Arabidopsis thaliana: one gene and its partner. The protein of the gene in region 2 purifies or fractionates together with the protein of the main gene of each other region. This does not show direct contact. Each region holds a gene or a part of one and is shown on either strand. Other genes may lie near its edges.

Evidence for each region. The genes of interacting proteins can lie anywhere in the genome.
Region 1: the proteins of GRF1 (region 2) and AT1G36240 purify together in Arabidopsis thaliana (affinity purification with mass spectrometry, with the first as the bait; one study listed by BioGRID). This does not show direct contact.

What each region holds. Positions count from the first base shown.
Region 1 is NC_003070.9:13,612,803-13,616,918, reverse strand, and holds AT1G36240 (Ribosomal protein L7Ae/L30e/S12e/Gadd45 family protein), read right to left. Parts: upstream 2,030-4,116; coding exon 2,009-2,029; intron 1,928-2,008; coding exon 1,822-1,927; intron 1,741-1,821; coding exon 1,639-1,740; intron 883-1,638; coding exon 814-882; intron 727-813; coding exon 686-726; downstream 1-685. Other genes in the region: AT1G36230 (uncharacterized protein), read left to right, coding at 2,868-2,892, 3,009-3,090, 3,418-3,488, 3,562-3,639, 3,724-3,840, 3,938-4,058.
Region 2 is NC_003075.7:5,773,016-5,778,068, reverse strand, and holds GRF1 (general regulatory factor 1), read right to left. Parts: upstream 2,860-5,053; 5' UTR 2,683-2,859; coding exon 2,191-2,682; intron 2,114-2,190; coding exon 1,991-2,113; intron 1,900-1,990; coding exon 1,783-1,899; exon of another isoform or gene 1,698-1,782; coding exon 1,631-1,697; exon of another isoform or gene 1,425-1,630; intron 1,280-1,424; exon of another isoform or gene 1,070-1,279; coding exon 912-1,069; 3' UTR 588-911; downstream 1-587. Other genes in the region: TL29 (ascorbate peroxidase 4), read left to right, coding at 21-158, 237-371, 457-567. UniProt on the Arabidopsis thaliana protein: Is associated with a DNA binding complex that binds to the G box, a well-characterized cis-acting DNA regulatory element found in plant genes. Involved in the regulation of nutrient metabolism.

The DNA.
Region 1 (4,116 bases), on a different chromosome or scaffold from region 2:
GCTCAAACGAGCCAATCTTGAGGGTAGTTGTTTACAAATGTAATATGAATCGGTTGGGTATGAACTTTTCGTGCCAAAATATCCGTTTTAACATTAGCACTACGAGAGATTAAAAATAGAGAAAAGCTTGTGAACTCATCTTATCGCTCTGTAACCCTCCAAATACGCTGAGAAATTTCCTAATGAAATTTTATATGGTATTTTCTCATGAAATTTTCAATTTATATTTCAATTTTTAAGAAATTGTTTTATATGACACTAAATAGTAAATATGGTGTAGAGTTGAGATTATTGAGGGACACATGTATTAAACTATTGGTAATAGATCCTACCAAATCTAAAAGAATTAGGTTTATTTTGAGAAAACTACATAGATTTCTTGTAATATTTATTTTAGACCTAAAACATGTGTTCATGCCAATGTTAACTATACATAGAATTACTTTTTTTGTCAACCTATATATCATATATAATACTTAGTGACTGCAGGAATATCATTCTAGTATTAATTCAGAGAGTCGAAATTTTCAATTACCACAATTGTTTAGAAACCAAGACAACCTACAAAGTCTTCAAAGATCTTAAACAAGTATGACAATTCTAGACGAGAGAAGAAGAAATCACGAAGAAACACACTACTTCGAATAAAGTAGATAAAGAGGACAAAATGATAATTAAGCACAAATCACTGGTCTCCAGGAAGCGACTTGATGATGTCAGAGTCACCTGAAAATATTGCATAAGTAAACAAACCAAGATTAACATTGCATGTGTAAGATGATTATTCTAAAAGACAATGAATGAGTGTGTTACCTGGGTCAACTATGCTGAGGCATGACACACGGAAGTATTTACCGCAGGCAGTACCAAGATCAACATTGTCTAAAAGGAACAAGTACAAAAAAAAAAAATCAGGCAATAAAATAACATAGTTGCAGAGACTCATCAAAAATAAACAGTTTCTGTAGTCTTAAGTAACATAATCAAGGTTTACAAGACTCTCAAAGAAAAAAGCAAGTAAGGAACAACTTCTGAATCACTGGTTCTCACTGAAATTGGTCGCTAATACCAGAAAACATAAAACAAACAATCACTGGTGCAGGAGGAAACTGATATGATATAAGTGAGTTCAGGCTTTTACACCATTTAGTCCTTACATTAAAACAACTACAAGGATCACCCTAATGGATTTGTAAGATGCAAAATTACACACTCTATCTACACAATCCAACATATACAAGACTTTCAGGAACATATCATTTAAGTATTAAGTGCATTCCTATTGGGGAAGTGCAAACAGTGTAAAGAATTGGTCACTAATACCACATACACACAGAACAATCATAGACCATAAAGGAAACTAATACAATGACACCAAACTGTTTCTACTAAATAATTTGCAACACTACACTCTCTATCTATACAATACGTACACAAACTTGGGAACAGATCAATTCAGTATTGGAGCATTTCAAATGGTGAATGAGAAGAGCTTCACTGTCAAATCCCACAGAATAATTTGCATTTCCACAACTATTTCTACTAAACAATCCTAACTACATTCAAACAAAACTGTTGTACAATGATACTAAACCAGTAAGGACAAATGTATAGTCTTTGTTCATGAAAAGAACTTACTTCTATTGTAGTGATGAACTCCAACTTTAGCAAGCATAGCATAGTACTCAATCTCAGATCTCCTCAATGGTGGGCAATTGCTAGATATCAATATCAACTTACCTACAACACAATCAAACAACAACATTCAAAAACCAATAGCTTATGAATCAATAAGCTAACAGAGAAGTTTGTTTCTAATACCTTTGGAACTGCGAAGAGATTTGAGAACAGATTTGTAACCAAGAGTGTATTTGCCACTCTTCATCACCAAAGCCAATCTGCTGTTGATTCCTTCATGGGACTTCTTCTGCAAGAAATGGATTCAACAAAAAATCAGTACACTCAAAAATTTCATGGATTGTGGAATTAGATCAGAGAAAAATCATACCGTCTTCTTCGCTGCAACCATCTTCGCCGGATTTTGACTGATAAGATTGAGAGAAATGAAACCGGAGAATCAGAAATCGGTGAGGGTGGAAGAGAGGAATTGTGTGAAAGAGATCGGAGATTTTTTTTACCTTCGTTGCCTTTTAGGGTTTGGGTGGCGCAAAATGAAAAGTGAGAAGTAGAGAAGAGAGACTAAAGGAACCTTTTAGGGGTTTTGAGAGATTCACTAATTAGGCTTAGGAAATTGGGCTTTAACGGACTCTTTCTTTATATTTTGCGTAGAAATATATATATCTTTTTTTCAAATTCAGTAAAATTTAGTTTTAATTCTTCAGTTTATTATCAATGACTATGAGTATGAAATGGACCACTATAAACATAGTTATTTTCGTATTTTTAAATTAATTTTTATTATTATGTAAAATATTATTTAGTCCAATATTATTAAAGAAATTTGGTCAATTTTACCACTTTTAACCAAAATGTTTTTATTTCTAAAGTTATTTACAAAAAAGTACTAAAATAATTGTGCCTTTCGGAAATAGGCACTCCAACTTATGTCTTTCGGATTTGAGTATTTCTCTCTTTGTAAATTACTCTTTCATCTCTCTCGCTATCATCATTCACACTGTTCCTCAATATGTCTCTCACCTGCTTTTGTGCTGTCTACGAATAAAAATCTCCACCCTAAACCTACTTCTTCACTTATTTCCTACCATAGCTCTCTGATTTCTTCATTCGATTGCAAACGCAATTACCCACCCCAGTTCTTGTCCAATGCGTGCCATTTTTTCTCTACACCATCGCCATTGTTCTTATTTCTGGCCTCCATCAGGTGATCTTGGTTTTAATCGACTTCGATGGTGACAACAAGGAGTTACCGGCGTTAGAATTCTAACTCGCGTTCCTTCCCACCCTCCGTCAAGCGAGTCAAACCCTACTTCTCTTGGAAACTTCTGCCAACTTCTACTCCTTCTCGAGGGCGTCGTAGTACTTGAAAGGGGGACACAGCTGTACAGTTGTTGATCCAGCGAAATTCGCAAATTCTGCTTCGGATCTCGACGCAGAAGATCTCAGTTGCAGGTATTGCCTCGGATACATCCTTCTCCTACTACTAATTTTGTTCATCTCCCGTTTGTCAATTTTGCAAACATTGCGATTTTTCTATAATTTGGCACAACAATTATGTTGCCTCTAGTATTTCTGATTGCATCTCCTATTATTAGTGGGACTCAATTACATCCCCATTCCTTCAAATTTGTTACTTCTTACCACTTTAATTTGCCTACATATTCTAACAGCTAATTTAACTAGTTATGCGTAATGGTGTTCTTTACAATCTAACGTGATATTGAAAATATTCTTCTTGTGTTACTAAAGTTTCCTTTATTGTGCCCTCATCCATTCCAGTAACTCCAACTGCAACAGAGATGTTTCTGTTTCACATGAGATAAGTGTTGATAGTGATGTGTCGTCTGAAGGTTAGGTGTGACAAATTTGGGGTATGTACACAATTTGCTTGAAAAGTTTTATATATGATGTGTGTTCTTGCAGCTCCGTCTGATGGTGATCCCAATCTTACCTCATCTAATGTAGATGCCATATCTGAAAATGGACATCGTTCTTCTGAAGGTTATAAACCTTGCTTTATTGTTGTTTCCTCTTCACGTTGTTTGCATTATATCAATATTTCTATTTATTTGTTCCTTCTCGTAGCAACAACAAACATCTCTAGCCCGCTGACCTCATCTAGTCAAGGTGGTTCTGTTGGAAACGGAGATGATCGGAGTGAAGCTGCCATGAGGGCTGACAGATATATTTTATCATCAGACGGTTAGAACCAGCATTTAGTGAATGATGTGCCTAATTTTGTCGGCTGCTTAACATGTCTTTGGGCTAATGTTTGTCATTTTAATGTCTTTATTTGCAGGCCCAACGCAGCATATCAACGGTCTAAGCTCATATAATGACGGTTTAACTGATAGAAATGTAGATGAGAAGTGTGAAGGTGACAAAAGTGTTGATAGAGATGTTTCTTTGTTTGAAGATGCGTATATTTAGTATTATACTTATAGATTTTATTATCACTTTCCTGAATCTTATGCACTC
Region 2 (5,053 bases):
AACCGTTGTGAATCTGTTAGTGGGGATTGTTTGATAGAAATTTTGGAAGGAGTGATGCAACAGAGGCTGATCCAGAAGGCAGAGTCCCACAATGGGGGAAAGCAACTGTGCAAGAGATGAAAGATAAGTTCATTGCTGTTGGATTGGGTCCTCGTCAGGTACATGATTTTCGGTTTAAACAGAGAATTATCTACTAGGATCACTCGAAGTAACTAACCTGTATGAGGAATTTGTAGCTAGCTGTAATGTCTGCATTCTTGGGTCCTGATCAAGCTGCAACAGAACAGCTCTTAGCTACTGACCCTCAAGTTGCTCCATGGGTTCAGAAGTATCAAAGAAGCCGTGAAACCGTATCTCAGACTGATTACGAGGTTCGTTTTCACTCGATTTGCCTTAATCATATATTCATCTACCTCAAACTCAAGCTCATGTTTTGGTTTATGAATATGTTTGTAGGTTGATCTCATAACTGCATTCACAAAGCTAAGTTGCTTAGGACAGCAAATCAACTTCGAGGCATATACATATCCCGTCGAACGGATCAATCTGAGCAAACTCAAGCTATAAGCTATGTACACTATATGTATAACATGAGAGGAAACTTCGAAATAAACCAAAGATTTTTCTTGACATTGAAACAAAAAGAGAAGTTGAATCCATTACAAACAAAGACACAGAAGATAGGAGTCAAATCACGATAAAATGGAAACAGATAAACGAAAAATAATAGGAATCGAGTTTTCGTATCCACGGTTGAGAAAAGCAGCAAAAAAGGACAAGAATTAGACTGCCTTAGAGAGCTTGGGGATAAAAGGAAATAAGAAACCAACAGAGAAACACCTCCAAGAGAAAAACATATTAATGGAGAGGTTTTAGATACTGAAATGACAACAAAGTTGCGGTAAGACGACTTAGGATTGTTGCTCGTCAGCGGGTTTTGCTGCTGCTGGTGCTGCTTCTTTGATGTCATCAGCAACATCGTCCTGATTGAAAAAAACATTTGACAAGATCATCATAATCAGAATCAGACCACAAGAAAGAAGGATTGAGGAATGTATCAAAATGTAAACTAAGCAACAACTTGATTTCCAAATCTAGTCTCCCTCAATGGCATATATCTTGCTCATGGTTTCAGAAATCACAAACAGGCTTAAGCAAGGCATAAGGAGGAATGCATCAAAATGTAAACTAAACCACTTGATATTCAATTCGTGTCTTCCTCAATGGCTTAACAAGGCTTATGATTTCATAAATTAAGCAACAAAACAGGATTAAACACATTTGACAATCACTAAAATCAGAATATGACCAAGAGAATGCATCAAAATGTAAACTAAACTGTTTGTTTTCCATATCTAGACTTCCGCAATGGCTTAACAAGGCTCATGGTTTCAGAAATCAAGCAACAAAACAGGCTTAAATACATTTGACAATCACTAAAATCAGAATCAGAGCCAGCAGAATGCATCCAAATGTAAACTAAACTGTTTTATTACAAATCAAGTCTTTCTTAATGGTTTAATTATAGGCTAAAAGTTTCAGAGATCAAGAAACAAAAACGTTATTCGTTCATCAAGCAACAAAAACAAGCTTATAAGGCCAAAATATAATACCTAGCAAGATTACTAACACAGTTGACAATCACCAAAATCAGAATTAGACCAGAAGAATGCATCAAATAAACTTGATATCCAAATCTAACTTTTGTCAATGACTTAATTAGGCTCATTGTTTCACAATTCAAGCAACAAAATCAATCATACAGGAGCCAATATATAATACCTGCATATCAGAAGTCCAGAGAGTGAGGTTATCACGAAGAAGCTGCATAATCAAAGTACTGTCCTTGTATGACTCTTCACCAAGAGTATCCAATTCAGCAATTGCTTCATCAAACGCCTAAATAAATCCATAAACAAAAACTCATCAAACACACACATAAACCAACAATACATAATCATATAAAACATCCCTCAGATGAGATCCAAACCTGCTTAGCGAGATTACAAGCACGATCTGGAGAATTGAGAATCTCATAGTAAAACACAGAGAAGTTCAACGCAAGACCAAGACGAATCGGATGCGTTGGAGCCAATTCAGAATTAGCAATATCCTACACAACAAACCAAAATTTCAAAAACCTAAATCACACAAAAATCAAATCACAGATCGGAGAAAGAGATCAAAAACCTGAGCAGCTTTGTAAGCAGTAAGAGTATGTTCAGCAGCATCTTTCCTCTCTTGACCAGATTTGAACTCAGCCAAGTACCTATGATAATCACCTTTCATCTTCAGATAAAACACCTTCGAATCTCCAGAAGCAGCAGCGGGAACGAGAATCGTATCGAGAAGCTTAAGGATTCCGTCACAGATATCAGAAAGTTCCGTTTCGATTTTGCTTCTGTAGTCACGGATCAACGAAACGTGGTCATCGTTACCGCGAGACTCCTCCTTTTGTTCGATCGATGAAATGATTCTCCACGAAGCACGACGAGCTCCGATGACGTTTTTGTAAGCGACGGAGAGGAGATTACGTTCTTCGACGGTGAGTTCGTCTTTGTCAACAGCTTTCGCGACTTTCTCCATGAATTCAACCATTTCTTCGTAACGCTCTGCTTGTTCGGCGAGTTTCGCCATGTATACGAATTCATCTCTTGCTGAGGAAGCTCCTGGTGTCGCCATTGTTGTTTAGATCGGAGAAGAAGATGATGAACAAAGTGAGGAAGAAGAAGAAGAAATGATTCTCAGATCTGAGAGAGTTTTTTTTTTTTTTTATCGGCTCCGTGGATTTTTGTTTTTGTTTATAATGAATGAGTGGGGAGCGATGATTACGGATTGTGAGAAGAAAGGAGAGCCGTTGGATTGAAAGCTGGCAAAAACACGGATTCGTAACGAAAAAAGGCGCTGGCTTTTCAGATACTTTTTAGGTCAAGTTTGAATTTTCAATGATTGGAAAAGGGTATTTCTGGAAATTACTTATTTAATGGGCTTTTTTCCTGCGAAACGGGTTTATTGAATGGGCTTTAAAGCCTATTTTACGGATTAACTCATTTGCGCGTGGGTGAATTAATTATTGAATGGCCCGAATAGGCCCAATAAATATAACGCTTGTATTTTGGTATACTTACTGATTTCATTTTTAATCGGATATCCGATATGAAATATGAAAAATAGAAAATTTAAAACCCAAAGATGGCAATATTTCATTAAGATTTCTTTAGCTGTTAATCTTTAGTATTTAAATATTTAATTTAATGAACGTAATTTCATAAAATTTACAAACAAATACGTCAATCATCGTAAATCTAGTGAGCCGACATCGTTAATTTACAAATATTATTATAAACATTTAATTATCTCTTTTTAAAAAAAAATTAAGAGGACCAACTGTTATAATAAGATATTATTATAAACATCTAATTATTTTTTTTATTTTTTTTATTTAAGAAGACCAACTGTTCTGTTTTGGATACTCATAATTACTATATTTCTAAGGCTATAAGTCCTCATCACTTTAGTAAAAATAAATTTTGTGGATTGGTTTCATCCCCTCTATTAGGAACATGGACAACATCCATTTGCATGTCAAGAAGGCTTTGCATGTCTATGTAAGTAAGTTTTATATTTATTTGAAGATCTCGGTTTTTTTTTTCTTTTTTGTGAGATCATAATTATAATATTCGTGTATTTACTAAAATTTAATTTCTCTATGAAAAAAACTATTTGCTGAAAATAGTATGCACAAAACGTACACACATATCGTTGTTAAACAAGCAAACATGTAGAGTATCGATTAAACGACATATGTATATACACAATTTTCCTGAAGTTAGGATTTTATCAAGATTTCTTTCAAGTTTGATCTTGCAAGGTAGAGAGAAAGCCTCATAATTTGGAGTCACACTAAAGACAATGATAGGTCTTTGAGTCAGAGATAATGGAGTTTTAGGTTGAATAACTAATGCTCTAACCCCTCATATTGGAGTTTCAGCTAGGAACCAAAACATTCAAAAGGAATCAAACACATGGAGAATACACAAACGGTGTTTAGGATGGATATAATAGAGATTACAACCTTATCGAGATTCGCTTTAGGATGCATAAAATAGTAGGAGGCAAGAAGTCAAGAGACTTTCATGGGCATCGATGTAGAAAAAGTTCTCTGCCACAGAGGAAAAACAATTTTAAGGTCCTAGAATCTACATTTCATTAAGGATATATAGTAGAACCGCGAATGTGGTTAAAATTAACCGTTGGAGTGAAGAATTGGATAGGCTTTTGCTTTTCAAACATGAAATCAACAAAGTCCTTTGTAGTTGGGCATATAAGATAGATTCATCTCAGAACTTCCTGGCTCCATCCCAAACAAGATGTTGTAGGACTTATTCCAACGTGTTCGTTGTTTATCATCTAGAAGCGTAAACATGAGAAAAGAGTAAGCATAGATTATAAACAAAATCACAAAGTTTCTAGATTCCACATAACGCTAGGAACTCATCAATAGAGAAGCAGCAACTAAAAAAAAAGCTCACCTTTTAATTTCCATGTTTCTTTCCAAAAACGATCAGTGAAATTACGTATAGCTTTAATTTTTCCCCAAAGCAAGGATTGAATCTTGCGCTAACAACAAAAATGTTCAAATTTTAATAATTATGGAACAAATAATCAAAATATTCATAATTTAATAGGTCTTGCGCAAAACTATCTATTTTTACCCACAATAATAGCATGTATATGGGTGATACTCATATGGTATCATAAGGAATTTTTAAGTATTATTTATAATGTTTGAGATTTTTTATGATACTCCTACTAAATATGTTTGCACTAGATATTAACCCGCGGTATACCGCGGGTAAGTTTATATTTTAGTTAAACTAAAAATCTTTTTTTGTAAAGATGATTAATAAATTTATGATATTATTTTATTTGATTTTAAATATATAATACACTGCGAGTTGTATATGTTTTGTTGATATTTTTTATATTCTTTAATGTTGATATTCTATGTTTTGTTGTATATGTTGTGTTGTTCTTTTTAGTCGCATATGGG